4 linked regions of the Drosophila melanogaster genome follow. The protein of the gene in region 4 binds, or shares a complex with, the protein of the main gene of each other region. Each region holds a gene or a part of one and is shown on either strand. Other genes may lie near its edges. A codon is read from its position in the direction of its gene.

What was found.
Region 1: the proteins of Orc5 (region 4) and Orc3 are in contact, whole or in part, in a crystal structure (PDB 4XGC), measured with the Drosophila melanogaster proteins. Residues at the interface, in NP_477132.1 of Drosophila melanogaster: Ile72 (codon at 2,001), Glu73 (codon at 2,004), Tyr75 (codon at 2,010), Ile79 (codon at 2,022), Glu82 (codon at 2,031), Asp86 (codon at 2,043), Asp94 (codon at 2,067), Arg130 (codon at 2,175), Tyr291 (codon at 2,658), Met292 (codon at 2,661), Arg293 (codon at 2,664), Ile294 (codon at 2,667), Glu295 (codon at 2,670), Leu319 (codon at 2,742), Glu320 (codon at 2,745), Leu321 (codon at 2,748), Pro322 (codon at 2,751), Tyr323 (codon at 2,754), Tyr324 (codon at 2,757), Ala325 (codon at 2,760), Asp383 (codon at 2,987), Leu386 (codon at 2,996), Ala387 (codon at 2,999), Tyr390 (codon at 3,008), Val397 (codon at 3,029), Leu399 (codon at 3,035), Thr400 (codon at 3,038), Cys401 (codon at 3,041), Asn402 (codon at 3,044), Leu403 (codon at 3,047); in NP_476904.1 of Drosophila melanogaster: Ile105 (codon at 4,426), Gln107 (codon at 4,432), Leu140 (codon at 4,531), Lys141 (codon at 4,534), Val144 (codon at 4,543), Cys183 (codon at 4,660), Thr184 (codon at 4,663), Met185 (codon at 4,666), Lys186 (codon at 4,669), Gln187 (codon at 4,672), Glu213 (codon at 4,750), Cys214 (codon at 4,753), Asp222 (codon at 4,777), Leu225 (codon at 4,786), Ile226 (codon at 4,789), His230 (codon at 4,801), Ala243 (codon at 4,840), Thr244 (codon at 4,843), His250 (codon at 4,861), Tyr255 (codon at 4,876), Ser258 (codon at 4,885), Ser259 (codon at 4,888), Arg262 (codon at 4,897), Leu263 (codon at 4,900), Ala270 (codon at 4,921), Pro272 (codon at 4,927), His302 (codon at 5,076), Ile303 (codon at 5,079), Leu305 (codon at 5,085), Tyr306 (codon at 5,088).
Region 2: the proteins of Orc5 (region 4) and Orc2 are in contact, whole or in part, in a crystal structure (PDB 4XGC), measured with the Drosophila melanogaster proteins. Residues at the interface, in NP_477132.1 of Drosophila melanogaster: Lys169 (codon at 2,292), Ile382 (codon at 2,984), Cys401 (codon at 3,041), Asn402 (codon at 3,044), Leu404 (codon at 3,050), Ser405 (codon at 3,053), Ile407 (codon at 3,059), Ser408 (codon at 3,062), Thr409 (codon at 3,065), His412 (codon at 3,074), Asn424 (codon at 3,110), Ile425 (codon at 3,113), Met426 (codon at 3,116), Glu427 (codon at 3,119); in NP_731873.1 of Drosophila melanogaster: Asp438 (codon at 5,402), Arg443 (codon at 5,417), His468 (codon at 5,492), Asn470 (codon at 5,498), Thr471 (codon at 5,501), Pro472 (codon at 5,504), Leu473 (codon at 5,507), Leu474 (codon at 5,510), Trp475 (codon at 5,583), Asp476 (codon at 5,586), Gln477 (codon at 5,589), Leu480 (codon at 5,598), Trp487 (codon at 5,619), Ser521 (codon at 5,721), Ser524 (codon at 5,730), Glu564 (codon at 5,850).
Region 3: the proteins of Orc5 (region 4) and Orc4 are in contact, whole or in part, in a crystal structure (PDB 4XGC), measured with the Drosophila melanogaster proteins. Residues at the interface, in NP_477132.1 of Drosophila melanogaster: Met1 (codon at 1,788), Glu2 (codon at 1,791), Glu20 (codon at 1,845), Glu24 (codon at 1,857), Leu25 (codon at 1,860), Asp28 (codon at 1,869), Ser30 (codon at 1,875), Glu31 (codon at 1,878), Thr32 (codon at 1,881), Tyr33 (codon at 1,884), Pro34 (codon at 1,887), Ser35 (codon at 1,890), Phe40 (codon at 1,905), Gly41 (codon at 1,908), His42 (codon at 1,911), Asn100 (codon at 2,085), Met101 (codon at 2,088), Leu102 (codon at 2,091), Val105 (codon at 2,100), Glu106 (codon at 2,103), Arg109 (codon at 2,112), Arg115 (codon at 2,130), Arg132 (codon at 2,181), Asn137 (codon at 2,196), Val141 (codon at 2,208), Arg144 (codon at 2,217), Gln146 (codon at 2,223), Leu148 (codon at 2,229), Asn150 (codon at 2,235), Leu151 (codon at 2,238); in NP_477320.1 of Drosophila melanogaster: Val9 (codon at 2,898), Arg12 (codon at 2,889), Arg13 (codon at 2,886), Lys16 (codon at 2,877), Glu17 (codon at 2,874), Gln20 (codon at 2,865), Arg21 (codon at 2,862), Tyr23 (codon at 2,856), Arg58 (codon at 2,751), Asp89 (codon at 2,598), Asn91 (codon at 2,592), Leu92 (codon at 2,589), His93 (codon at 2,586), Val98 (codon at 2,571), Ser102 (codon at 2,559), Glu147 (codon at 2,424), Tyr250 (codon at 2,115), Arg253 (codon at 2,106), Asn254 (codon at 2,103), Asp257 (codon at 2,094), Glu260 (codon at 2,085), Tyr261 (codon at 2,082), Ala299 (codon at 1,968), Tyr300 (codon at 1,965), Asn303 (codon at 1,956), Phe306 (codon at 1,947), Arg307 (codon at 1,944), Ala310 (codon at 1,935), His311 (codon at 1,932), Arg313 (codon at 1,926).

The regions. Positions count from the first base shown.
Region 1 is NT_033778.4:13,200,652-13,209,258, reverse strand, and holds Orc3 (origin recognition complex subunit 3), read left to right. Parts: upstream 1-2,711; 5' UTR 2,712-2,750; coding exon of another isoform or gene 2,751-2,878; intron 2,879-2,934; coding exon of another isoform or gene 2,935-3,079; intron 3,080-3,135; coding exon of another isoform or gene 3,136-3,261; intron 3,262-3,333; coding exon of another isoform or gene 3,334-3,483; intron 3,484-3,542; coding exon of another isoform or gene 3,543-3,783; intron 3,784-3,858; coding exon of another isoform or gene 3,859-3,869; 5' UTR 3,870-4,050; coding exon 4,051-4,077; intron 4,078-4,140; coding exon 4,141-4,944; intron 4,945-5,003; coding exon 5,004-6,241; intron 6,242-6,306; coding exon 6,307-6,403; 3' UTR 6,404-6,531; downstream 6,532-8,607. Other genes in the region: FLASH (FLICE-associated huge protein), read right to left, coding at 1-1,006, 1,066-1,608, 1,663-1,853, 1,910-2,167; CG34315 (uncharacterized protein), read left to right, coding at 2,751-2,878, 2,935-3,079, 3,136-3,261, 3,334-3,483, 3,543-3,783, 3,859-3,869; ValRS (Valyl-tRNA synthetase), read right to left, coding at 6,665-7,167, 7,232-8,261, 8,353-8,370, 8,435-8,607.
Region 2 is NT_033777.3:13,960,986-13,968,103, forward strand, and holds Orc2 (origin recognition complex subunit 2), read left to right. Parts: upstream 1-3,899; 5' UTR 3,900-3,948; intron 3,949-4,006; 5' UTR 4,007-4,022; coding exon 4,023-4,596; intron 4,597-4,664; coding exon 4,665-5,510; intron 5,511-5,580; coding exon 5,581-6,017; 3' UTR 6,018-6,090; downstream 6,091-7,118. Other genes in the region: Kots (kotsubu), read right to left, coding at 1-92, 154-350, 411-1,165, 1,231-2,662, 2,747-2,889. UniProt on the Drosophila melanogaster protein: Component of the origin recognition complex (ORC) that binds origins of replication. DNA-binding is ATP-dependent, however specific DNA sequences that define origins of replication have not been identified so far.
Region 3 is NT_033778.4:24,794,371-24,800,809, forward strand, and holds Orc4 (origin recognition complex subunit 4), read right to left. Parts: upstream 3,045-6,439; 5' UTR 2,923-3,044; coding exon 2,731-2,922; intron 2,671-2,730; coding exon 1,483-2,670; 3' UTR 1,370-1,482; downstream 1-1,369. Other genes in the region: ETH (ecdysis triggering hormone), read right to left, coding at 419-844, 903-1,088; CG12849 (uncharacterized protein), read left to right, coding at 3,555-3,602, 3,661-3,816, 3,866-4,030, 4,094-4,243; CG3611 (uncharacterized protein), read left to right, coding at 4,740-5,105.
Region 4 is NT_033779.5:13,828,250-13,834,606, forward strand, and holds Orc5 (origin recognition complex subunit 5), read left to right. Parts: upstream 1-1,587; 5' UTR 1,588-1,787; coding exon 1,788-2,885; intron 2,886-2,938; coding exon 2,939-3,223; 3' UTR 3,224-3,239; downstream 3,240-6,357. Other genes in the region: Arpc1 (Actin-related protein 2/3 complex, subunit 1), read right to left, coding at 1-1,027, 1,097-1,169; PolG2 (DNA polymerase gamma subunit 2), read right to left, coding at 3,240-3,634, 3,689-4,379; GatC (Glutamyl-tRNA amidotransferase, subunit C), read right to left, coding at 4,376-4,822; Polr2C (RNA polymerase II subunit C), read left to right, coding at 5,175-6,002; mRpS23 (mitochondrial ribosomal protein S23), read right to left, coding at 6,048-6,357. UniProt on the Drosophila melanogaster protein: Component of the origin recognition complex (ORC) that binds origins of replication. DNA-binding is ATP-dependent, however specific DNA sequences that define origins of replication have not been identified so far.

The sequences.
Region 1 (8,607 bases), on a different chromosome or scaffold from region 4:
CATGTCAATGGCAGTTTCCAGGATAACCTCGTCATGTTCATCGCTGTGATCCAGTTTTGTTGAATCGGGCTTGGCGTATAATATAGTAGCAGACTTTATTGGAGTTTCGTCCGAGGTGGTAAAAATAGTTGGATCTTTCATCTCTGCGCAAATCTTTTGGTCCTGTGTGGCTAGGTTCTCTTGATTTAAAGCGGAATCTGTGACAGCTGCTGGCGCTTCACCATGGTTGTCGACCTTTACAGCAAAATGGTCGATATTCGCCATCTTGGGCAACCGAATATCCTCAATAATCCTTACTCCCAAGTCGGACTCGACCACGGAGTTAACTTGATCCATCGGTTCTCGGATCTCTGCTTCATCATTCTCATCATGCTGAGAACACACATCAGCTTGAGACGTCGTATTCTTTGATAATACTATGTTGTCGTTGCTTTCTTCTTTGCTAGGAGTTTCAACAGCAGTTTCAACTGCAAAAGGCTCTTTTTTGTCTAACTTTGCCTGTGTCTCTTCAGATTCTTTTCCATCCTTGAATTTGTCCAGGGGTTGCTCATCAGCTGGGCAATCTTCAGCTAAAATGTTTTTACATTTTTCAAGTACTACAACTTTGGGAATAGGCTCCTTATTTAAAAGTTGGTGGCCAGAGTCTTCTGTACGATCCTGTAAGATTACAGGATCTAACTTGATCTCATTTTTAGAAAAATCCGCCGATTCTGGGTTAATTAAGCTTAACCCCGGAATAATCTCATGTTTTGGAATACAAGGTTCAGCAATTAAACCATTTGTCGGTTGAGTAATATCCTTCGTCTCTACTTTTGATTCCTTTGAGGAATTTGCATTGGTTTCTAAAGCAGCATCCCTTCGGTTGGAAACGACTTTTTCAGCCGGTTGAGATTCAGTTACGAGTTTGACGGTCACGGGGACTGGGCTCTTGCTGCGTTGGTCATTTGTTTCATCGTCAGTAAGTGTGATGATGGCATTTGCTTTTTCTCTTGGCAATTGTATCTTGCTACAAAAATCAGATGGTGCTATCAACAAATGTAACTTATGTCCCTCTGCTTTACTGACCTGGGCGATGCGGATTGGCTTCGCCGTTTGGCGTGCCGGGAACTGCTTTCTTGATTCCTGTGATGATCTCGCCGGGAATTATGTTTTGGACTCCGGCTGCGATGTGGATCTGGACGACGAGCCTGTGCAGTAGATTTCCGATCGGTGGTCTTTGAGTGTTCCGGCCTGGGAGACTTGCTTCTTTGGACCGATTTCTTGGCGTCTTCTCTTGTCCTAGATTTCCAAGCATCATCCTTTGAGGATGACTTCTTGTCATCATCTTTATTGGTCGCCATCTTATTATCCTCCTTGGATTTTACGCCTCTTTCAACATCTTTTGATACGACTTTCGTTGTGTCATCTTTTTTGGTCATCATCTTCCTAGCATCATCCTTAGCGGCGTCCTTTGCAGCCGTTTTGAACGGATTTCTATTCGTTTCCGGATATTTCCTGACATCGATTGGTGTAGATTGAAATTCTTTCGGACGCTTACTTTCGGGTTCCCTTGCACCTGGTACGTCAAACGCCCGTGCTCGTTTTCGTCGGAAGCATACATCGTCCTTTCTGTTGAACAATGTGTTGTTTGTTAAGAAGCAGGGAGTCAATATGCTAACTTACTCGTTTCGCAGCTCGGCAATCAGTGTCTCTTTTCTCTTTACCTCCGCCTTAGCTGTGTCCAGTAGATTCTGTAGATTAACCTCCATGGTTTTTATCTTCTTGCCAAGTGCCTTATTCTCAACCTTTAGCGCTTCAATTTCGGCCAGTGCCTTTTCGTATTTGGCTTCCCATGCCTGTAGCTCCTTGGTATTCTGTGAGATGGTAAATGGGTAACTCTGCTGAAAGGACGTATTCCTGCACAACTTACACGATCTTCGGCCTTCTGAAAGTCGTCCAAATCATCGTAGATGTCCAGTTCAAGGGATCTGTCCATTTGGTCAGGCTTCTTTGAACCTGCAGGCTCTATATCGTACAAATCGTGATAGATATCCAAATCCATGGATTTATCCTTAACGTTGGACTTCATCCCGCCCGCGTCCTGGTCTTCCAAATCCATCAAGTCCTCCAGAGCTTCGGGCAGCACCAGTTCTCCGCCAGATTTCGTGGCATATGCAGGCGTTTCCATACCAATCGCTTACGTTTCTTCTTGGCTGCCCTTTAAACAAGGATACATAAAATGAATTGTTAGAGTTACTGTTTTTTAATGGAGCTACTTTATTGATTACCTGTTCAGTCATAAATTGATCAAAATTCGAAACACAAAAGAATTTCAATGTTCTTGATTTTTGTTTCAGGGAATAAAAGTTCCACTAAAGCTCAATGGTCACTGTCCTGAGCATTTCCTCCAAACTGGCGTGCAATTTGTTTCCCTGCCGTGTATTTGTATAAATGTAATTATTATTATTATTCTATTTAATATTGTTAGAAAATCCCGTGTTGCCGCCAATCGATAACAGAAGATGCAGTTGATTATCGGAAGCAACAGCTGACCGGCTGAAAATGTGGCAACCCTGATAGTGGATATCGATATCCAGCAGCAACATTTGGCGCCAAAACGAATATTTTAAAAATTTTATTATGCACTTACGTGTTTTCCCAAGAATATAATTTTAAAATCAATCTAGTTCCCATTTCGTATTACTGTACACTTAAATTCGTTAAAAAAAAACATCACAATACAAACAATAATACTCGAGAAACACTACACAATGGCAGACATTCCGGAAAAAAGTTCTTACTACAAGAAGGAAAGAAGAAAGTTCGCTCTGATCACTTACCTACTAACCGCGATATTCCTGATCCTTGCGCTGTTGCAATGGGCCACTTTCCGCTTTGTGTACGTATGTATTTTCACATTACTTCATCCTCACTGCACTTTTTCTTAATTTTCAGAAATTTTCTAAGGGAATTTTTTACTTCGTACCATTGGTTGAGCTGCCTTTTTTTTGGAATAGGCCTGATACTCCTCGTACTTTTCATATTTTTCGAGGTACTGCGCTTTAATAAAATGGTAAACTGGTTGTTTGCCTTTCTAATTGTAAGTCTACAATGTGAAACATAACCTGGGTGGCAGTATGAACTTATTCTTTCCAGTTTGAATGCATTGTACTGGGGATTGCACCGCTGGTTGCCCGCCACTACAAGTATCAGTTTCTCTTCAGCTTCCTTATATGGACCGTAGCATTGGCGCTTTTTATTGTCTGTGGTTCCTTTCTTCCGGTAAGAAGAGTCCACATGAAAGCCATTTGATTCAAATCTGAAGCTTCACATTTTTATTGTTATCCCCTTAAGCTGGATCTTACTTTGGATGTTGTGGTGCTATTTGTGCTTGCAGTGGTTTCCATTATCGGCGCCATATACTTCGTGATGCTCTACATCGTGGCTAATGTCGCATACTCGTTTATAATCGCCCGTTGCTTTATAGTGATCAGCATCTTGATGGTTAGTACTGAGTCATACATTTTTGAATTAGTTTCTGTCATTTAGTTTCCTCCTTACAGTTTGTCATGTATCACGCGCAGATTATAAACGGTGGAAGGTTCGCCGAGATGCGCACGAAGGACTACTTCCTGGCAGCCATCATACTGTTCCTCGATTTCCTGCTCCTCTATCTTTTCTCATTCCAAGTGGCCCCAAAATGGTCGGATCGTTGCGATGGCGAACGTTCAAAAAACTTGGTGCTGTTCACAGAAACTACGACGAATTCGTATCCACCAAAATGGTGGCGTACGAGCACGAAGGGTATGATTTCTTATTATTAGTTCATGTTAGATGAAATATTCAATTAATTTATACTTTTCACACTTGTTTTCAAAGATACCCCCTAAAGTCGTTAGCCAACACTGCCGCCCGTTTGGCGCCAAACACAACAGCCAGCTGATTTCATTTCGCGTTCCTACCGGTGAAGAAACTTTAATTGGCACAGAGCTGACCTAAACAAATAAATAAATAAACGCAACCCGGCGACTTAAAGACTCCACGACATCGGGCCGCAGTGCAAAGCCAGCGATGGATCCCACCATTTCAGTGTCCAAGGTGAGTGGCTTCGGCTTCCAAACTGGACATAGATGTTTAACTACTTATTTTTGTTGTCTGCAGGGCTGTTTTGTCTACAAAAATGGCGCTACGAGAGCAGGGAAAAAGGCGGCCAGCAAACGGAAGCGTCCTGCCGCAGAATCCAGTAGTCTTCTTGGCAAAGAGGTAGTGCAGCAGCCCTTCTATGAGGAATATCGCAAGGCCTGGAATCAGATAAACGATCACATTGCCGACCTGCAGCACCGCAGCTATGCCCGCACTCTGGAGCAACTGGTGGACTTTGTGGTGGGGCAGGCAGAGCGCGACACCCCGGACGAGGTGCTGCCCACCGCCGCCTTGCTAACGGGCATTAATCAGCCGGATCATCTCAGCCAGTTCACGGCACTTACCCAGCGACTCCATGCCCAACGTGCTGCAATGGTATGTGTGCTGCAGTCCAGGGATTGCGCCACTCTCAAGGCGGCCGTTGAGACATTGGTTTTCGGGCTCGTAGAAGATAATGCAGAAGTGGAGCAAATGGAAGACGAGGACGAGGACGAGGATGGTGCCGAACGGGATCGCAAGCGGCTACGTCGCTCGCAGTGCACCATGAAGCAGTTGAAGTCTTGGTACACGAACAATTTTGACTCGGAACAGAAGCGCCGCCAGCTGGTCGTCATCCTTCCCGACTTTGAGTGCTTTAACGCAAGCGTGCTGCAGGATCTTATTCTAATTTTGAGCGCTCACTGCGGCTCGCTTCCATTCGTCCTGGTCCTGGGAGTGGCCACGGCCATGACAGCTGTCCATGGGACACTACCATACCACGTCAGCAGCAAGATTCGTCTAAGGGTGTTCCAGACTCAAGCTGCTCCCACGGGCCTTAATGAGGTAATATTCCTTAACTCTGTGCTAGTTTATGTACTAATCGGTTTTCTAACAACCTTTAGGTGCTGGATAAAGTTCTGCTGTCGCCCAAGTACGCTTTCCACCTGTCGGGAAAGACATTCAAGTTCCTGACGCACATCTTCCTATACTACGACTTCTCCATCCACGGCTTTATTCAGGGCTTCAAGTACTGCCTGATGGAACACTTCTTTGGTGGGAATGCCTTTGCTCTTTGCACAGACTACAGCAAAGCATTGGGACGCATAAAGCAGCTGACCCACGAGGATATGGAAACCATCAGAAGGCTCCCATCGTTTCGTCCGTACGTCGAGCAGATCAATGATTGCAAACGCATCATAGCCGTGCTCACGGACGATGACTACCTAAAGAAGAAACTGCCGCAGTTGCTGCGCGACTGCCTGCTCCACTTCCTGCTTTTCCGCTGCTCTCTGGAGTTCCTTACAGAGCTGGTTGGTGATTTGCCGCGCTGTCCGCTGGGAAAGCTACGCCGGGAACTGTACGTCAACTGTCTTAATCGTGCGATCATTTCGACGCCGGAGTACAAGGAGTGCCTGCAGATGCTAAGCTTTCTGTCCAAGGACGAATTTGTTGCTAAAGTGAATCGAGCCCTGGAAAGAACCGAACAGTTCCTGGTTGAAGAAATTGCTCCGCTGGAATTGGGCGAGGCCTGCACTGCTGTGCTGAGACCTAAGTTAGAAGCTATACGCCTTGCAGTGGACGAAGTGGTCAAGGCCACCATGGCGACAATTACAACGACATCGCCCAATGAAACCCGCCAGGCGACTGACCATTTGACTCCGGTGGCCTCGCGTCAAGAATTGAAAGATCAGCTCCTACAGCGTAGCAAGGAGGACAAGATGCGGCATCAGCTGAACACGCCCACCACCCAATTCGGACGAGCTCTACAAAAGACTCTGCAGCTTATCGAAACGCAGATTGTACAGGATCATCTCCGTGCGCTGCAGGATGCACCACCTATTCACGAACTTTTTGTGTTCAGCGACATTGCTACCGTGCGGCGAAACATAATTGGTGCTCCGCGGGCTGCACTGCACACTGCCCTGAATAATCCACATTTTTACATGCAGTGCAAGTGCTGCGAGCTACAAGATCAATCACTGCTGGTTGGCACACTGCCCGATCTCTCCGTGGTTTACAAGCTGCACCTGGAGTGCGGTCGCATGATCAACCTTTTCGACTGGCTGCAGGCCTTTCGATCTGTTGTGAGCGACAGCGACCACGAGGAAGTGGCCCAGGAACAAATCGATCCCCAGATCCAGTGAGTAAAAAAATGGATTTCTCTCTGTAATATCATCAATTTCATTTGGTTTTCCTTTCAACCAGGGCCCGATTCACGCGTGCCGTAGCCGAGTTGCAGTTTCTGGGGTACATTAAGATGTCGAAGCGCAAGACGGATCATGCCACTCGATTAACCTGGTAGCTCGCTCGGGCTATGAATAACCAAAATCCCTTAGGTATTTTTATCTTTTCTATTTATTTATATTGGGGCAAATTTCATGTGTGGGACGTTATGAATAAATAAAACATCAATCGATTTGTCTACTCTGTACGAAATGCATTAACTTTGTTTGCGAGTGAAGCGCGTTCTTGTATTTTTTAAGTAAAGCCCAGCAGCTGGCAAGGCAAGCGTACTAAATATCAATTACCAGTCTTCCCGACTAGCGGTTACCACGTTCCCTGTTCACATTAGTTTCAGAGTCTCGATGGCGGCAGCGATGCGTTCGATCTCTGCCCGCGACTCGCAGAGTTTTGTCTCGTTGGCCTCCTGCACCTCGGCGGGAACCTTAGTTGCGTAGTCGGCGGCCTGGATGGCCTGAGTTAGCTTGCCCACCGTCTGCACCAGCTGGTCGCTCTTCTTCTGCAGCTTGGCTATCTCCTTGTCCGCCTCCACGAGTCCCTTGAGCAGCAGGTGCACCTCGCACTGGCCCGTCACGGTGAGGATCGCACAGCCCTGCGGTGCGGGACTGTCAAAGACCACATTGGAGCAGTAGGAGATTGTGGCCAGATCGCTGGCGTAGCGTTTGAGTATTTCACTGGGCACCGAATCCGTGCATACTATATACACCTCGGTTTTAACCTTGTTGGGCAGATTATAGTCGGAACGGGCAGATCGGATGATTCGCGCCGCCTTCTGCACAAATTCAACGTCCGATTCTATCTTTGTGCTGCGCCAGGATGTATTGCCTAGTTATGAGGAAGTTAAATTTATTTGAATTCTATCATCATGAAGAAATCAAATGCGACTTACTGGGATAGCTAGCCACGCAAATGCTAGGAGCGGGATTTGCCCTCGGAAGCCGCTGGTAAAGTTCCTCCGTGATGAAAGGCATGAACGGGGAGAGTAAGCGCAGTCCATAATCTAGACATACGTAGAGCGTGCGCCTTGCGGCGGTCTGCTGCTCCTCGCTGCCGCTCTGGAAGATCGGCTTCAGACACTCCAAATACACGTCGCACAGATCGTAGAGCCAGAATGCGTAGCAGGCGCTGGTCGCTGCAGCAAAGTCGTACGACTCAAAGCCGGTGTTGCAAGCTTCTATGGCAGCTGCCAAGCGTGACAGGATCCAGGCGTCCATCTGGTTGATCGCTGCAGACGCACTTAGCTCCGTGTCAAACTTCTCAGAGCCGGTGAAGTACAGCAGGGCGAACTTGGTGGCGTTCCACAGCTTGTTGCAGAAGAAACGATATCCCAGAACGCGATTGATGTCCAGGTTGATGTCGCGCGCTTGCGTGATATAGGCGCACAGCGCGAATCGAAGTGCATCCGAGCCGCACTCGGGAATTCCCTGCGGATAATCCTGTTTCTGTCCAGCCTTAGCCTTTTCGATCTCCCGAGGATCCAGGTTGGAGCCCACAAGTTGAGCATGCAGTCCCTCGAGCGTAATGCCACGAATAACATCCATAGGATCGATAACATTTCCCAGGGACTTGGACATTTTGCGTCCGTGCGCATCCCTCACCATGGGGTGAAGATAGACCTCCTTAAACGGCAGTTTGCCCAGCAGCTTCTGTCCAAAGAATACCATGCGAGCCACCCAGAAGAAGAGAATGTCGTGACCCGTCTCCAACAGCGATGTGGGATAGAACGTTTGCAGATCCTTAGTTTGGTCTGGCCAGCCAAAAACGGAGAAGGGAAAGATTCCCGAACTGAACCATGTGTCCAGGACATCTTCGTCTTGTTTCAGTACTATCTTGCTGGCGTCCACTCCAAAACGTTCGGCTGCCTTGGTCAGAGCCTCCGCTTCGCTGCGTGCTACAATCCAGTACTGCTCGTCGTCGTTCTAAAAATGAAACAAATAGGAAAATTTTAATTTGTCTAATTTAAAAGTGTTGTCTATAATTTATAGAGTTATGTTTTGGTTTTTTACGCACCACACTTCCATGAGCAGACTAAGATATCCAACGAAATATATTACCCATACAAATTATTATTATCCAAAGTAGATTTACTCACCGATCCAGTTTGAAGAGAAGGGTCGGTGAAGCTGACATGGTATGCCGGAATCCGGTGACCCCACCACAGCTGCCTCGACACGCACCAGTCGCGAATACCGTCCATCCAGTGGTACCACGTCTTGGTGTGATGCTCCGGAATGATCTTTAGTTCTCCGGAGCGCACTGCCTCAG
Region 2 (7,118 bases), on a different chromosome or scaffold from region 4:
GGGTTCAGGGCCTTTCTTAACTCCGCATAAGAATCGAATCTTACGCACAAGAAACTGCTCCAGAGCCGCAAAATTCTTTGATTTGTCGAAGCCTGCAACGAAGTGTTTATTAATGGTGATCCGGGCAAAAATTGAATGCGATTATGCGCATACCATTTATATAGCACTTTGTGACATTGACGGCAATTAGCAAATCCTGTGAAATCGGTTTCACGTGTCTCACGGCCACATATTCCGTATTTCCAAAATCGCAGAATAGAATTTTGACCATATTGTCCTTAACCTCCTGGCAGACTCCGCGATACCAGTTCTTATCTTCGCTGTAGATCGCCAGGCACAGTTCACCAACGCTGCAATTGGGATAAAGTGCGTGTTAAGAAAAGGACAAGCAAATATCGAAAGCGCATTACTTTGGTACGTAACCCGGAACAACATTGTGGTCACATGCTCCCTGACTTGATGTCAAGCTAAGGATTTTTTCAAATTCCTTGGCCGCCTTTTCGTCCTTGAAGTAGGCGGCGGTGATGTAGCCAGTTTGCGGCAATCCGTCAGCGTTCATAAGGATTAGGTTGACCTTGTCGCCTAAAGGAGCTAGATTCTTGGGCAAAGCGTCGAAAAGGAAGCGTTTAATGGGCAGAACGTGGGAAGCTGACTTTGTACTTGTCACGTCGGCAGGAAAAGGCGACTCCGGTGGAGAGGGCGGCAGTGGAGGCAGATCCAGCAGAAGTAGAGACTGTGGAGACACCTTCTGCTGTTTGTGAGTTACAACAGGCAATTGACTCGGAGTAGAAGCAGCCTTCGGTGGTGCAACTTCTGCTTTTTCCTGTACCGGTGTAAATATAAGAGGCAACATTTGGGTCGTCAAGGAGCGCGAATCGCCGGAGCTGAACAGCAGGTCCACGGTCGATGTAGTTGCATCTACCATGTTCAATTTTAGCAGTTCTTTTTGGGCGCAGAGCTTGTGCAGCATTTGAATGGCCGCATTGTTAACTGGCACAGCTGCATCCGGAATATTGCAGACATTCTGCAACTGTACACGCATCAGACATACGGGCAAATTCTCCAGGAAGCGACAGGAGCTGCGTATTTCCGCCAACTCCACCTTTTGGGTGGCACCAGTATCAACGTTCATTACTTCGAACAATCCACTATCCTTACTCAATATCTGTAAAATTCGAAAAGTTCATAGACTTTACTGATTGAAACCCTGCAACATAAATATCGACAAACCTCGCCCCGGAAGTGACCCATCTGCTTGGAGACAACGAGCACGATGCTGCCAACGGAAACATCACTAGATTTGGTAATGGTAGCGCACTTGTACTCCAGGCGCTTGAAAATTTCCGCATACTGCTTGGCGTCTGGAGTGCTGATGTATACCTCCTTAAAGCTGACCAAGTGGGAAATGAATACGATGGAATCATGGACGATGGGTTCACGCCAGTACTTGTGGCCTAAATATGAAATCTGACCCAAGAAAGTGATCAGACGGGCCATACATATCTGCTCGCCCTTGGAATTCAAGGCGGCATTCGCCGCGCGTAACTTTTCCTTGGGCGGCTTATTATCCAGCTTAAACTTGACCGTGAGTTCTGCACCTTGAGTCTCAAGCTCCTCGGGTACGGAGTCCTCCAGCTGAGCGGCAAACACTCGACTGGGCAGGCCAAGTAGTTCGCTGGGAATACGACTCAGATCGGTGGCTATGGACACTCTACCCTCGTCCATTTCGTAAACCAAATAGGTTGGCCTCGGTTTCATGATATGATCCAATAGGAAAGCTCGCCGATAACCATTTTTAGTGCGGGTGGCCGCAAAGAAGATGGATTTCTGCTCGGGGAAGGGCAGCGTGAATGGCTGTCTTGGCTTCTCGGCTATGCGGTTGTTTAAGTCTGCGTTGACATGGCCCATCACGTTGATCTGGAGTAGGGCCAGCTGCGGTTCGTTATGCTTTGGATTTGCCTTAAAGACCCGGATGACTTTGACTTCTGGATTAAGCTGCAGCATCTCCAAGGGCAAACTTAGTGGTATTATCATCTTGGGCTTTAGATGGACGTGATAAGCTCCGTCGCTGGTTTTGGTTCCCAACATACGGAGCGTCAAGTTCTTAATGTCCTGAACTCCAGTGTTCGTGGGCAATTGAACACGGAAAGCGAACGCCTTGCTTTCGGCCATCTTGGGCACAATGGTGTAGATATCCCGAAACGGTGTAGCTACTATCTGACCGTGGTCAATCATACGGACATTGGCTTCTTGCTTCTTTTGGCAAACCGTCAAAACATGACCGCGATGGACCTTGTCGCCCACACTGATGGCCACGAGGGTGTCCTCCCGCACTCCTTCCATACGAATCATCTTCTTATTCTGCATGCAGCGCTGCATGTTGACCGTCATTCGCTCAATGGCCTCCACATTCGCCACGTGCACCACCCAAATGGGTCCATCGTTCTCCATGAAAGTCACGCGGCACTTGAAAAACTCCATGCCCGACGGCAGCAAATGTTTGCGCCAGTTTTCCGATAGATCCGGCTTGTTCGGCACAGCAACTGTGGGCTCCACACATGGGATTGGCGATTTAGTGCGAGTTTTAGCCAGAGCAACTTGGTTCTCTACGCTCTGGATTGGATTCAACGCCGGTTGAAGAGGCCGGCACTCCACCAAGGGTCTGGAAACGCATTTGTATTGTATAAGAATTAAAAACCCCTAACTTAATGCACTGCTGCGCAACGGATTTACTAATTTAACTCACGGCATAATGATGCACACCTGCCTGTGCCTCTGCCAATCCAATTTCTGGCACTTTTCATTGCAGTACGGTTCTCCACACCGCTGGCACATCAATCTGGTCGGAGTGCCACAGACGACGCATGTCTTTTCCTCCGACTTTTCCATTTCTTCAATTCAAAGTAACAACGCAAGAACGTGTGAATGAAAGAACGGCGCGTTAAAGGAAACGCAGCAAAATGGCGCTAACAGAACTTTTAGCACGCGATGAAATACAAAGTGAAAATCTATTTACGCTGGACGAGAACTTTCTATGTTTTCGTTTTGAAAAAGGTGGAATCCTTTAGAATTTAAGTGCGCGATTCACAACTCACAAACATGCGATACGTTCACTAAACGCGTTTAAATTCGAAGCTCGCTGGGCACGCGCTTCAGTGCATTGAACGAACGTGGGAAGAAAGAGAACAGGACGATATCGATATCGGTTGGTTTTCGATTTACAGCGCACTGATGGAAGTAAACTTGATCGTTAATTAAAAAAGGAAAAATAAGGCTTACGAAGTTTTTAAACTTTAATTAAAACGACACAACATATGCTAAATATTCTACATATTCCAGTTACAATCAATTTCGCCAAGCCATTTTCATGGAAGTTGAATACTCTTTGAACCTGTTTGAATATATCTGAAAACGCAAATCTACTTTGTGTTATTATTTTGCCAATATAGGCAATATTATTTGAAAATTAACCGCAAGTCCATTGACGACCGCAATTCAGAATAAGAACGTAGCGTAATTTTCCCATCTTCAAATATTGTTTTTCCTAAACTTACCGATTTTAACACTTTTTAGTTTTAAAAACGTTTGTGGTTAATCCGCAAGGAATTTGTGACAGTGAAAAAATAACCGCTTTGTACGCGCACGTGTTGCCAACAAACACTTCAGCTTTTGTCAGTGACTGGATTCTAATTTAAATTTATCGATAACGTATGCAATTCTTATTCGAACAATATAGTTATTTCTAAAAACTGTGTCACGGAATTTCTTTTTGTAATTATTACCTATATAAATATATATTTATACAAATATTTATAACATTTGTGTTTTAATTGTCATGCCCCTTTAGTTTTTTTTACGCTAGAAACTTAGCTACTTCCTAGGTCGAGAGCTGGCCACACTCTTGGCATGTCTTAGTTATCGATAATTCCCGCCACTTCTGAGCATTGAGTATATTTTGCGAACTATTTGTTTACCAATTGAATATTTTGATAATCAGGGCCCCCAGTGAAGTGGCAAGCGTCATGAGTGCCAGCAACAAAGGCGGTTACAAGACGCCGCGGAAGGAGAACCTCATGTCCATTGAGAACCTCACCAATTCGGAGGAGGAATCCGAGGACTTGAACACGGCAATGGTTGGGAATGCAGTGGAATCTCAGCCCAAGGTCACCAGTCGGCGTTCCACCCGACGTCCAAGTCCCACCAAGAAATACCAGGCGTACCAGAAGGAAAGCAATGGAAAAGGCCAGGAAGAGCGAATTGTTGTGAACTATGTGGAAATGTCCGATGAACGGAGCAGCGATGCGGAGGATCAGGAAGAAGAAGAAAGCATCGAGGAGTCGGAAAATGCTGCCCGTCCCGCTGCCAAGGATCTGCATCTCATCCAATCCGAGTACAATGTGGCCGGCACCAGCATGTTTGGCTTCAATACGCCCAAGAAACGCGATGCCATGGCACTGGCCGCCCTAAATGCCACGCCCTGCACGCCCAAGACCCCAAAAACGCCGCGTTTGGGTGTCAAGACGCCGGATACGAAGCGCAAGAAGTCCATGGATCAGCCAAAGACTCCCGCCCATGTGCGCACCCGCGTCAAGAAGCGTGGGTAGCCTTTTTCTGCGTCCTTTTACCATTTTTTCCATTATTTATAAATTCATTATCACTTTCAGAGATTGCCAAAATAGTGGCCGACTCAGATGAGGATTTTTCTGGAGATGAAAGCGATTTCCGGCCCAGTGACGAGGAATCCTCCTCCAGCAGCAGTAGCAGCGATGCTGGCAACTCCTCTGACAACGACGCCGCCGATGATGAGCCCAAAACGCCCAGTAGAGCCCGCCGTGCCATTGTAGTCCCCGTTCTGCCGAAAACTCCATCGGCAGCCCGCCTGCGACAATCGGCGAGGGCGAAAAAATCGAATGAGTTTGTGCCCGAGAGCGATGGTTACTTTCACTCGCATGCCAGCAGCAAGATCCTCACTTCGGATCACACCTTGGATCGCCTAAAGAATCCTCGCCTGGCCGCCGATCGTGTTTTCAGTTTGCTGTCGGAAATCAAGACATCGGCGGAGCATGAGGGTTCTATTAATGCCATTATGGAGGAGTATCGATCGTACTTTCCCAAGTGGATGTGTATTCTGAACGAAGGCTTCAATATACTTCTATATGGATTGGGCTCCAAGCACCAGCTGCTGCAGTCATTCCATCGGGAAGTTTTGCATAAGCAAACGGTATTGGTGGTGAATGGCTTCTTTCCCAGTCTGACCATCAAGGATATGCTGGATAGCATCACAAGCGACATATTAGATGCGGGCATTAGTCCGGCTAATCCACATGAAGCAGTGGATATGATCGAGGAGGAGTTCGCACTGATACCGGAAACACATTTGTTCTTAATCGTCCATAATCTGGATGGAGCCATGCTTCGCAATGTGAAGGCACAGGCGATTCTTTCGCGCCTGGCGCGCATACCGAACATTCATCTACTGGCCTCCATTGATCACATAAATACCCCACTGTGTGAGTGCACCGATGCTTTGAGATCTTTATAGTGCGACAGCAAAACTAATTATTGTTTACGAATTTGCAGTGTGGGACCAGGGAAAGCTGTGCAGCTTCAACTTCTCGTGGTGGGACTGCACAACAATGCTGCCATATACGAACGAAACTGCGTTCGAGAACTCGCTGCTGGTGCAGAATTCCGGCGAATTGGCCCTCTCCTCGATGCGCAGTGTCTTCTCATCGCTAACGACCAATTCGCGTGGCATTTACATGCTGATTGTTAAGTATCAATTGAAGAACAAGGGCAATGCCACATACCAGGGCATGCCGTTCAGGGATCTCTATTCGAGTTGTCGCGAAGCATTTTTGGTCAGCTCAGATCTGGCACTGCGTGCCCAGCTCACCGAGTTCCTCGACCACAAGCTGGTCAAATCGAAACGGAGCGTTGATGGCTCCGAACAGCTAACCATTCCCATTGATGGCGCACTGCTGCAGCAGTTTCTCGAGGAGCAGGAGAAGAAATAGGCCATCGGCGTAATTTTAGAACATATTAATTTATTATCTAATATTGTTAAATACAATTACAATTTCGCTTTTTAAAAATGTTGTGTTGCTGTCACTTGTATTGCCCATGATGAGTGCGCAGTGTTTGTTTTCGCTCTTTTTTATTTTTTTGTCAATTTCTACACATTAAGATTGGCATGCATAAAATTTGTCGCTTTGCTCGAAGATACACATTCTAGGATGGCTAGTTTTTTTCCTCAGCTCCAGTTGCGAGCATATAGCAACACAAAACTTCACAAAGCACTGCAAGTGCTCGACGACTGCGGGGATGAGAGCGCATTTGGATACGATTTTAAGGATCAGAAGAGGCGAACTAAACATAGCTAAGCATGCCAAAAATGATAAGACTCACTACCGCCTGACCATTCCGTGCTCCTCATCCATTCCAAAGGCTAATATCGGTTACCTATTCACTATACAGACACGCACATACACAGATTAAAGCGTTGGACTTGTAACTAGTTAATTGTGCACTCGAAACGAAATGTAATTGCTGCGACTAAGGCTAGTTTATTTACACTTTCTTGATAGCAAATCACATGCGAAGTCAATCGGAAGTACACATACAATGGGGAATCGTTCATGGCTGGCTCCTATTAATATTATTTTGAGTTTATTGCAAAATTCTACCCCTTCCTGAATACCTGAATTGTACACACCGAGTTTGCGATCAGCATTTTTGCATATAAAAATGTCTTATCTCCTGCGCCGCACATTTACTTTTTCTTTAATAGTTAGATAATTGTTATCACGTTTACTTTGCTCGTCCTTTTTTTTAAGCTTCGTTTGTGGGAATGAATGGCAGAATGTGGTTCTGAATCAATCAGAAGAGAAACCACCCAAGAGAATCTCCCCTTTTACAAAATGAATCGATGCAAGAGTGTTGTTGGTTTTTCACTTTTATCGGCTTATTATACACAAATTGCTACTGCTTGCGTTTATTTCGACAATGCTTTGTTTGTTTGTTTTTATAGTTTTGTACAACAAATTAATTACATTTTGCGCTTAACAAAGAGAAACAGGCGTCTGATATTGAAATTTAGATACTTTTAGATACTTAAG
Region 3 (6,439 bases), on a different chromosome or scaffold from region 4:
TTCGATTCCATCCGGGAATGCGATAAAGAAAGGCTCTGATCCAAGCAACTGCAATCCGGATTTCGATTTTCTCTTTCCATTTGGTTTTGTATTTACGTACTTATGGGAAAGCATTCTAATGAAGACTTGGAGAAGACTTACGTTATATTCAGACCATCGTGCGATAGAGGATGAGTCATTTCCATATGGCCGAAATTTATTATGTTTACTATCGTTTTTAGAGGTGTTTTTTGGACTTACCAAAAGAGGCATTTGTTTTCTGGGATTATTCAACTGAAAAGATATTTAAATTTTTTCTTGGACCATTTTCAAGGTTCCGGATATATTTGAAACACACTAGCTAGCAGTGTTGGTAAGTTACATGTATTTCTATAATGTCATATTCCTTTGTCCGTATTCAAATCGAATACTCCACATCTCACAGGATGTTGTACTTGAGGAATTGGCGATCGTAGCGATTTCCCCCGCCGTAAAGTTCCTGATCCTCGTTGTTTTTGTACATCATAAAGTCCGGATTCTGCTCGTCGCCGAAGATGGGAACGAAGCTGCCAAAGCTGAGAGTCTGCTTGAGGTGCTGGTCCGGACGGCGTCCCAGCTGGATAACCTTGCTGTACAGATCGGCATCTGCCTGGAGGGCACGATCGAAATCCTTCCAGTGGACGAACTTCACCTGCTCGCTGGGAATAGCGTTGTTGTCAAGCAGCTCAAGGAGCGTATTCGAGTTGACGGGCTGCACCACGTTAAGTTCCTGCTCCTTCGCTGGGGATTCCCCTGCGGGTAAGCGCCGCTTGCTTGGACTCGTTTCCAAATCCCATAGCCACGCCAGCAGAGGAGTAACAGAGCTCTGAAAACAGTTCATGGTTTAAAAATATCCTTTAAGAAAGCCCATGGGTATAACTTACGTGCTCACTGCGTCCTATGCGAGGAATGGTCTTTAGGTTCTTTATGGCAAAGTTCTCGCCTCGCTTGCCCAGCCGCGGTACGTTCTTGGTGATCTTTAGGAAGAATCCTGGACTACTGTCGTCTGCCTGGCTTATGGCCACAAGACCCACCAAGAGCGAAACAGACAGGACTGTTATGATTCTCATGCTGATGCGACTGAAGCTTCACCTGACTCCTGCTCCACAATTGGTGGCCTTTATATAGCGAGATCCACCCGCATCTTGCGTGGAATAGAAATGCGGGTGACTCCAGGAATTAGCATTATCGATCGGAAAGTGCAAAGCAGATAAAACTGAACTAACCTGACCTAAATGCCTGGCCATAATTAAGTGCATACATACACATTACATTACTTACATTTGTATAAGAACTAAATTTTATAGTACATACCACTTGCGTATGTAAATGCTTGTCTTTTCTCTTATATACGTTTTATAAATTAAAATTAGTTTATTTTCCCAAAACAGGGCTTTACCAACTAAATGATTCGGTACAATTTTTTTTAAATAAATAAATATACAAAGTATTTCTGATCTGCTGCTAAATCAGAGAGCTTTGCGCCCACTGAGCAACCTCTGTGGGAAGGGCCTGGTATCGCTGCATACAGTGGTGAATCTGGCTGTATGTCAGCGCCAGCTTATGCATCTCAAACTCTTTCTGCACCTTACCTACGCCCCCTCCAGCTCCACCGGTGAGCGGCATGATCAGCTCTGCGATGCGTAAATGCTCGAAGGCCTTCAGGACAATGGACCGCTCCACGGCCTGCATTGTGGTGGACACTTTGGCAAACTTGGAAAAGCGCGCGTAAATGATCTCGAAGTTGAAGGAATCGCGATCGTAAATCTGCGAATGGTGCTTGATGGCGATGATCAGGCACAGCTCTAGGACTGAGAGCCCGCAAAGCAGCTCTATCTTGTCGTCGCCCTCAAACTGTGATCCCACTGCAGCCATTTTTTCGGCTGTGATGTGGGGAGATTGCGGTCGGAGATGTGCCACCAGGCGGAATAGGAAGTTCTTGAGATAGGCCTCGCTAATGTCGAAGTCATGGAGCGCTTGGAGGGTGCTTCTTGCCTGCTGAGTGGCCAGGACTTTGCATATTTGCTTGTTCCAGGCATCGCGTAGTCTGGGCGAAAAGCCGTACTCCCCGGGGTCAAAATGGTTGCGGGAGAAGTAAAGTGCCCCCGACTGGATGTTTTGTAGGTTATAGATTTTCTCCGCCGCCAGCAACAGTGAATTGCCGGTCGGGAGGGACAGTAGATCCCTGCACAGGTCAACGTAATCCTCAAAGCGCCGCAAGCTGGGAAAGAGAAAGACCTGCCGGTGCGAGAAACGCGACTTGACCCGCTTCTCCAGCAGCTCGATCACGTCGAGGCGACAGGTAACGCCAAGTACACAGATGGGCGCCTGGGCTGACTGGGAGACGTCGAAGAGGTTGTAGAGCAGGGTCTGGTTGTGGTGAGCACAGAAGAGGTCGAACTCCTCGAGAATAAAGATCACGCTCTTGGAATGCTTGCCACCCGCCTTGAGGCATTGCAGCAGGAAGGCGAGGTTCTCGGCGAACGATCCGAACACTTTCCCATCCGCAGCGTTCTCCAGCTGCATCTGCACAGTGATGGACTTCAGGGCCACTCGGTCGTCCGTGTGCAGATTACCGTCCAGGTGGACGATGAGAGTGTTTTCCCCGAACGATTTATTGGGCAGCAAATCGGCCAGCACGGAGTTGATGAGCTAAAGAATTTGAAAGCATAGATTACTGGATTGGTTTCCCGGTAAGGCCTGCACTCATACCGTTGTCTTTCCGGATCCCCGCGGCCCAAGGAGCAGCAAGGAGTTGGATTCCCCCATTTCAGCTGTGCGTTGCAGCAATAGGCGCACATTGGACCGCTCCTTTGCGTAGCCCCTCAAGGTGGTGTAGTCTCGCTGGAGGCGCTCCTTCAGGAAGCGCCTGATGCTGACCAGCTCCCTATCCGCCTCCGGCATTTTCGCTCTCGGATCGGAACTCCTTTATTCCTCCTTATTTATTAGTTAAATGGACGCACAGATAGTTTGGATTTCTGCCAGTAATTAAGTCGCGCCAAAAAACGTCAACAATGCATTGGGGATGGAACAAAACCGATATTGGTTCATTTAATGTACGGTGGTTTGGAACTCTGATACTACTCAGTGTTGCCTTAAGCCGCCTGAAAAATATATTCGTGCCACAAACCAATACGATCTAATTTCTGCGGCTTTAGCACATTTTGAAATATCAACATTTTAGTTCATACAAAATGGACCTACGATTGAGGAATATGTACAATAGTAACTCTATAAATAACAATCAATTATACATATAAACATCTTTAAAAATATGAACAAATTTCTTTATTAATCGCATAGTCGTTGGCATTTTGAGGGTCAATTTGCTGGAATAGGTTTATTTGGAATGCTGTGTATTTTAAATGTCCATTAAAATAAGTTATTAAACACTCAATGGATTCTCAGAGATTATTTAATATCGGCTGGCAATTTCATAACAGCAATGGATCGAGTAATCACAATTAATAACTTTTGGAATGCTTCAGCTTTTGGCACTCGGTATTGTGGTTATTGTGATCCAGACCTCTTTAGGAATGAGCGGATTGTGGACTTTTCTGCTGATTTTTATGTCTCCGATGGCAGTAAGAATCGAATGCGTATGGCTAATAGATGGCACTATAGAATAATTGATATCCAAAGATCCGAGGACACTTCGAATTCAATAATGTAGTCTGCCTCGTGCGCGACAGGATGTTTATGGACTTTGAGTACTGTTACTTGAAGTCCGTGAACCGCACCTACAAGTACCTTTCGCTAAAAACAAAGATGTTCCGCCTGCCCGTCGACAACTGCGAGGTAAGAGTATAGAACTGTGTCGGTCTCACACCACCCGACCATCTTCCAGACCAGATTCCAGCTGAGGATGCGCGAGAACAGGCGAGTCCTGTACAACTTTGATTTCAAGGTGGACTCCTGCAAGTTCATGCGCGACCGCAAGCACGTGATCGCCAACTGGGTCTACCAGACCTTCGGCCCCTACTCGAACCTGAACCACACCTGCCCCTACGACGTGAGTGAGCGTTGCCATGTTCATGCCGCATAACCTTCGCCTTTCTCACCCACCCACCCACAGCACGACATCGTGCTCGACAAGCTTCCCGTGCAGCATCTGAACAAGCTGGTCCAGTCGATCATCCCCGATGGCAGATACATGATGAACAGCACATGGATGGTCGCGGGCATTCCGCGCACCGATGTCATCCTATACTTTACCAAGAGCTAAACAGTCAAATCCAGTAATATCCAGGCTCTTCAACCCGTAAGCAGAAATATTGGTAAGGTGTTATGCCGTTTTAGTATTGGATGGGGGTCAGCAGGACCAATATAGTAAATATAGTAAGTCTAAGTGGGTCTGTATGTGATGTATTTGTCACATTACTGAGATTTACGAAAATAAATATAGTGTAGTGACGAAAGTTAACTTAAACATGTACATAGGTTTCAGACTAGGCCAGTTCGTAAGCGTTAACAATTATGTGCAGAGTTTCTGCACAGGTGGCTGGCAGTGACCTGGATGCACTGCACCTGTCGTCTGTCAAGTGGCTGCTAATGCGATTAGGGAGCACACAGAAAACGGGATTGGCACTCGGGACTGGCAACTCAGCTGCCAATCAGGTGGGCCAGCCACAAACTTCACACATTTCGGACACATATATCAATCCACTCCACAACCAGAAGGACACGAAGTAAAGTAAACACAACCCCACACCCCTGACAAGATGCCGGCGGACATAGTGACCACGGAGCAGCTGCGCTACCAGCTCGCCTTCAGTCATGCCATGGAAAGGACGACGAGGCACTGGCAGGAGACCTTCGCGTGGTACCCTAAGATGCAGTGCTGCCATTATCAGCGGATTGACCAGATCTATCTGACGAGTCGCCAGCGGTACGGCGACGGCCACTTCCTCAAGTACGCCAACCGCAGGCGCCTGGCAAAGAAGTTCGTGGTTACCGCCCAGGAGGTTGCGGAAGGTTTGGAGGATCTGAAGATGCTGGAGCAAGACGGCATTACGGGCCTCAAAGTTGCGGTCACCGAGAACGGGGAGTACGGCCGAATGAAGCCCTCCAAGCTGTACATGTGCTAGGACACCCTGTGACCAGCCGGCCCGCTCTGCTCCCCAATCCTCGCCAGAACCCCTCACGATTAAACTATCATTCTCTGCTGACAATGCAACTCTCAATGGCCGTCACTCATTACGCGATTTTAGCATGACCGTGCGCATAATTAACAAGGTGAAAACGTCAGTCCCACCTGCAACTGCTTGCCCCGCCCGCCTCGCCGCCGTAGCGAGTGCTCACTGTACCTTCTCCTACTGGGGCGCAGTTGAAAAGTTCACACAGGTAATTAAGTGATCGCGTCTGTCCACTCCATGAGATGACTTGCCTCGCTTGTTCGGGATCTCGGAAACTGCTTTATGGCGCCCATAAACTGGGAAATATTATGCTCAGTGAATTAATTATAGATACCATGCGAATCTTAAGGATTTCGTTTAGGACAGTCACTTCGCCTGATAACTGATTGATAAATTTACAATTGTGAAATATAATCTGGGATACTGTTTGCGAAAATATAGTTATTTCGGGGCACGCCGCACTGCGAGTTCCTTGATAAATGTGTCCATCGACGCAGCTGCTCCTCCTGCGATTGCAGACGTAAGCCCAGGTGTCGTGGGCCAACTTCGAGCAGTATGATTTAAAAGTTCCATATGCAAATTACCCTCAAAGTTTCCGGCGAGCCCATCCGTCTATCGGAGTGCGTGGTAGATGGAAATGCGAAAGTGGCAAGTGGAAATGTGAACTGTGAAATGGGGAAAATAGGAAATGCAAATGCCCATGCAAGTGTGCAAATTACACAAAGGACGCTAACTTTGGGCCAACTTGCGAACTGGGCCAGCGACTCATTAGACACATGACAGCATTCACAGAGTGGGTGGTGGTTCAATCGGCCCAATGTGCGGGGAAGGGGAGGTGGATCGTCAGGTGGGCAGCGGCAAGTGCGTGTGAAAAATCAGCCATCAGCAGCCCACAGAATCGCCAAGCGCGCAATTAAACGGTAGCGGATAATTGCTATCGAAAGCCATAATGATGGCCGGATCAGTACTTACCCCGACTCCAGTATATGCTTCCATATCTTGATGCGGCTCTCCAGAGGAGAGCTTTGTGCGCCTTTCTCGGCTCTCATTGTTCACCCGATTTTCCCATCAGCATCGCATCGATGCGAACTTTTCGAGACCATCACCTTATTTCTGTTGACTCATACTCCTCCCAATCCAACGGACGGACAGCCTCTGATTTTGGCGGTGCTCAAGACTGAGCAGTGGTGACAGTCGAAAAAGCAGGCCAGAACGAGAGTTGCTGCGCTGTAGAGCTCAAAACAAATAAACACAGAGACACCTACTTGCCATACTTTGCACTCGGG
Region 4 (6,357 bases):
CCGCCCTGCTCCACATTCCAAATGACCAGCTGCCCGTCGACGCCCGAGGTGGACACCTTGGTGGCGCTCGCCTTGTCGCCGGCATACAGTCGCACGCTGGTGATGGCGTTCTGATGTATGGAATCGACCACCGTGTCCGTGTTCTCCGTGCGCATGTTGCGGTCCATCGACTGAAAGATTCTCATGGCGGTAATGCCGCTCGACTCCTTCTTCTGCGACTTATCGAGCTTGCCGCTCAGCACCAGCTTTCCATCGGCAGTCAGACTGTAGAGCAGTGGCACACAGCTATAGCCGGCCACCACGACGGACGTGGGCGAGACCCATTCGCATGACAGGAAGGGCAGATAGCCGGTGCGGCATCGAATGACCGTATTGCCATTGGTAGCGTCCGCGATGCTCACGCAGCTGTCGTGGCCCACCCAGCAGACCTTGTTACCGTCGCTGGAGAAGCTCACGCTGTTAATCCAGCCGCCACCCGAGGTCTGCGAGTTGCGGAACTCGGCCATTAGCTGGCCAAGGGGCTTGCGATTGCCCCACGGCGTCGGCGTCGGTGGCTCCTCGATGTCCTTGATGAAGGCCGAGAAAACGCGCACCTTGTAGTCCGTGGAGCCGGCCAGCAGCAGAACGTTGTTCGGATGCCAGTCCAGCGAAGTGACCGTAGAGCGGATCGGCTTCTTGATGTGCTTCGACACCCACCAGTCGTTCTCCGACTCGAAATAGCACACGGATATGAGTCGGGCGCCCGAACCCACAGCGAACTTGTTCTCCGCCGGCGACCACTTGACGCAGGTTGCCGCCCGATTGATGCGCAGCAGCACCAACGCCGGCTTCCACTTGCCATCGTCGCCCTGCGTCCACACATAGGCATTACGGTCGGCGGCACAGCTCACAATCCGATTGGTGTTCTTGGCCCAGTCGATGCCCATGACGCGCAGATCGTGCTGGTTGAGCACGTCCGCCAGCTTCCAGTCGCTGCCCTCCCGGCTGTATATGTGGATCTCATGGTTGTTGGGCGATAAGGCAATCTCTGCGAATTTTTGGGAGTGGGTGGTGGTGAGTCACACTGTGCCGGATGAGTAATTTGGGTCGCACTTACGGGTTCGATCCTTGTTCCATGCGTGGCAGGTGATGGAGGCCAGCGAGGTGCCAAAGGTGTATGTCTCGGCCATCGTGGGTGGCTAAATGCGCTCGGAATGTGCAGTGTTCGCTCGTCCAAATCCAACCACACGCGTAGTTTCTTCGGTTCGGTTCGCCGGATTTTCGGATTTTGGATATCGCTGTGTAGCAATTGGGCGTTGTTTCCGCTGGATTTTAGCTTCGCTCTCGTTTTAATCGCGGACTCTGGGCCGTCAACACGATTAAGCTGGCGTTGCTGGGATGGATTCTGGCTTTGCCTGGGCCGGAAGAGTAGAGCGTTGTGGAAAAAACTCTTTGGAAAAGTAATGCACAAAATTAATCACCCGAAATTAGAGCTGGAACAAAAATCGATGGCCCTCAATACTATCGTTATTTCGTTATATCGATATTTTTCGATTGTTTGAAAAATGCTAAGGTACCAGTGCTGTTACGCACGTTCGGTATATACCAGAGGGAATAATTTGGCGCCATTTCAATGGTCACACTAAACAGAAACCATTTCTTGTAAACAAATTTTTAATAACTGGCTGGCTCGTAATTTATTTTTGTTATTTTATAAACCGAGGAAGTATTTTCCCTTTTGAAAGCCCGTTTAAATAACACCACTTCGCCTGTGGGTAGCTGAGGAAACTTAAAAGCAGACGACAGCTATGGAAGCCATCTGCTCCTCCTTGGAGCCGCTGTTTCCCTGTCGGGAGGCGGCCATTGAAACGCTGGGCGAGCTGATAGGAGATTCGAGTGAGACATATCCCTCGGCAATTTACCTATTCGGACACAGTGGAACCGGCAAAACAGCTCTGACCAGAGCTTTCCTCAAAGAATGTGGAAAACGGCAAAATGTCCGCACAGCGCATTTAAATGCCATCGAATGCTACACCACCAAGATAATGCTGGAGATCCTGTTAGACTCGCTGGCACCCGATCAAGGTGATGCGCTGAAGGTCGACAACATGCTGGACTTTGTGGAGCAGCTGCGTCGGCAGGCCGCTACACGCGTGGAGGATCAGGGATTTCTCATAGCCGTGGATAACGCGGAAAGGCTGCGCGACATGGATGCCAATGTGTTGCCCGTTCTTCTCCGACTGCAGGAGCTGACCAACCTGAATCTGTGCGTTATTCTGCTCTCCCAGCTGCCCTTTGAGAAGTTCTACAACAAGACCGGACTTAGTGAAATCGTCTGCCTGCACTTGGCGCAGTACAACAAGGCGGAGACACAGCGCATCCTGGGATCTGACTTTCAGCAGGTGCGAAATCAACTGCTGGAACAGTTCGCCCAGGATAAGAAGCGTCTGGAGATTTGCCAGGAAGCCGTAACTGAAGACTTCTACAACAACTATCTGAATCTCTTTCTGAGCGTCTTTTACAAAGCCTGTCGCGATGTTCCAGAGCTCCAGCTGACCGCCAGGAAGTGTCTGTCCACATACTTGGAGCCTGTACTCGACGGCACTGTGGATGCCACGGACATCTCCCGGCTTTGGCGGCATATAGCTGGACCACTGCGTTCCGCCTTAACCCAGATTTATATGCGAATTGAAAAACCCGCGGAAGAAGTTGAAGATTTCACCGCCATAGAAGATCAGAGCGTTCGCAAGCTGGCGCAGTCGCTGGAGCTGCCCTACTATGCCAAATTTCTGTTGATCGCTGCCTTCTTAGCCAGCCACAATGCCGCCAAGCAGGACAAGCGATTGTTCGTCAAGCACCATGGAAAACAGCGAAAGCGGATGCAGACGGTCAACGCCAGAGCCAAGGTGGGTTATTCAATTTTTCGATGACTCCATTTGCTTATTTTAATACCTTTTAGACCACGGAGAAAATGTCCACCACTTTGGGACCCAAATCCTTTAGCATCGATCGTTTGCTGGCCATTTTCTACGCCATTCTAGAGGAGAAAGTCGGTCTGACCTGCAACCTTCTCTCCCAGATCTCAACTTTGGTGCACCTCAATCTACTAAGCTTCGTCTCCGGCGAACAAAACATAATGGAAGGTTCCGCTAGGCTGCAGTGCACCATTGGCTTGGAGTTTGTCCTGCAGATTGGCAAGGTGGTGGGCTTTAATGTCCGCCAATATCTCTGCGACTTTATGTAGCCCCTGGTTGTTTTTTTTAGTTTTTAAATATATTTAATAAATAGTCCGGTACATCGCTTATGTGTATGGTCTCCGCCAGCCTTGTGTCCCGGCTGCGCAACTGCATCAGTCCGTTTCTTAGCGTTTGCTCGTTTATAACAAGTGTATAAGGTATGCCGAGCATATCCGTTTCCAGCAAGTGCTCTGCTAAATGAGAAGCGTTCTTCGTCGTACGAATTCCATCCCCTTCAGAAAGTCTAAGACCGGCGTGGTTGAGAACATGTTTCAGATGCTGACAAAGATCAGACAAGTCAGCAGATAGCTCGGAATCACTTTCCACACAGGCAATTCCACATTGATATGGCGCCAGAACGCGGTGTAAGAGCAGGGATTGCGAGTCCCGGCCATGATCACAGCCATCCAGAAGCAGAGCTAAAGGATAATAATATAGAAAGATTTTCAAAGATAGTTATGATGACCACTTACCGCAGGTGGTAGTTTCCAGCTCTATCACAGACCTTATGACAGTCGGTTGCACAATTTCACCCGTTCGCGCATCGGGCAGCCGGAAGTCTTTGTCGTCCACTATTCTCACCAGGCTCAGTTGCTCCACGGTCACTTCTCCTGCATCACCGTAGCTCGTGCGGATATCGATGGCTTGATAGTCGTTGGGATTGAGATCCTCAGCCAAATCGCAAGGTACGATGCGGTAGCGACTGGGATTCGAGGAAAGACGCATCCACCAGATCTTGCTCTCACGCTGCATGTTGTAGAAGTGCTCCAGTGCGCGATGTGGTTCCACTAGGAAGTCCGTGGTTAAATGTAGCGTAGGACCCTTTATCCCAAATAGGGAATTGCTAGTGGGACCAGAACAAGTGCTTTGATGTTTCAGAAGAGTGGGACATTTGGCCTTTCGAGGATGATCTTTGACGAGTTTTTGGAAATTGTTACGGAATTGCTGGCTTTGTGGAAAGGAAAAACGCTGGATGTTGACTGGATTTATGGGTTCTTTCGTGGCGCCCAGGTGCGCAGCCAAGGGACGTAGTCGTGTCCAATGCTGTTGCAACAGTTTGGCGTATTCCCTTCCATGACTCAGTAGCTCCAGTTTATTGTCTTCCACGGTGCGAAAGAAGCCAGCGGAAGCCAGGGACTTAAAGCATCGTTGTATGCGACTCATTGCTCCAGCGGAATGTTGCCCGGCGGCGAAACGAAGTAGTCCTCGTCCGTCACCTTGGCGTTCCGGAGCACCTCCGCCCGGCAATCGCCTTCGGTCACCTGGTCGTTGCGTAACTGGAGCTGCTGATGCTCCAGGACCGTGTACAGTGGACGCACGTGCTCCGTGTTGATATGGGCAATCTTGTCCGCGAACTGTATGCTGCTCTTTAGCGTGGCCAGCGCTCGTTCGCTATCCAGATCCACCAGCGACAGCCGCTCCAGCAACTGGATGGTTTTCGTGTCGATCTGGATTTCGGAGGCGCTGGTGTCGGGAAACTTCGAGTCCACTGGTGTCTGTGGCACCTTGGTGGGATGCGTTAGCTGCTTGAAGTCCAATTTAGTGGCCTTTTCATTCGATTTTGTTGCAATTTTGCAGTAAAAACGGCTGCTGAACAGACGCAACATTCTCACCAGCACAAAATCAGAGGTGGAACTGAGTTTCGGAACAATCAGCTAAATGTTATCTGAAAAGTATTGTCCTTGCAAAAATGTTGATTTATGTGTTTATTCTATCTTAATTTAAAGCAATTTTCTTGTTATTGTGATCTAGTTTAATTAAACATGTCTCCATCACATTTGTTCAATTTAATATATCCAGCCCTTATTGTTAAAAATCTAGCTATAAATCCGAAACGAGAACAACAATCGATAACGGCACACTTATCGCCGGCTGTTATTGCTGCACTTCCATCGCTTCCTTTTCACTGAGCGGGTTATTTTTTTCGTGACCCTTTAATTTCATCAAAACAAAACCGCAATGCCGTACGCCAACCAGCCGTCCGTGCAGATAACCGAGCTGACGGACGACAACGTAAAGTTCGTCCTGGAGGACACGGAACTGAGTGTGGCCAACAGCCTGCGGCGAGTGTTCATCGCGGAGACGCCGACGCTGGCCATCGACTGGGTGCAACTGGAAGCCAACTCTACGGTGCTCTCGGATGAGTTTTTAGCCCACCGGATCGGTCTGATACCGCTGATCTCCGACGACGTCGTGGAGCGGCTGCAGTACACGCGTGACTGTATCTGCCTGGACTTCTGCCCCGAATGCAGCGTGGAGTTCACCCTGGACGTAAAGTGCAGCGAGGAACAGACGCGCCACGTGACCACCGCCGATCTCAAGTCGAGCAATGCCAAGGTCCTGCCGGTGACGTCCCGCAACCAGGGTGAGGAGGACAACGAGTACGGCGAGAGCAACGATGAGATCCTCATAATTAAGCTGCGCAAGGGGCAGGAGCTGAAGCTGCGCGCCTACGCCAAGAAGGGATTTGGCAAGGAGCACGCCAAGTGGAATCCTACCGCAGGCGTGTGCTTCGAGTATGATCCGGACAACTCCATGCGACACACTCTGTATCCCAAACCTGATGAGTGGCCAAAGAGCGAGCACACCGAACTGGAGGACGACCAGTACGAGGCGCCCTACAACTGGGAAGCCAAGCCAAACAAGTTCTTCTTCAACGTCGAATCCGCCGGTGCCCTTAAGCCTGAGAACATTGTGGTCATGGGTGTGCAGGTGCTGAAGAACAAGCTGTCAAACCTGCAGACGCAACTCAGCCACGAGTCCCAAAACGATGCATTGGCCGTTTGATTTACATATAACAAGTTTATTTTAAGTTTATAAAAGATGTTCCGCCTAATCCTTGAACAAGCTGTCTATGTTAATGCCCACGTTCGCTTCCTTTTTTCCCTTGGGAGCAGGTGGTGCTGGTGACGACGTGATTTGCTGGCTCACCACAGCCTCCTTGAAGTCGCTCAGCAGCTGGGACTTGGATTCCGAATCCTGCTCTGGCAGGCATTCCTCTGGGGTAGTCTCCAGGCGGGCCTGCTGGCGCTGCTCCGCCAAAAGATCCAGTGCGGTCTCGTAGATCCTTTGCTCATCCAGGGCTCCTTGTCCTTTCAGGTCCTGGTATATTTGGACAAATTGCTGTGACTGCGTGCTGCGC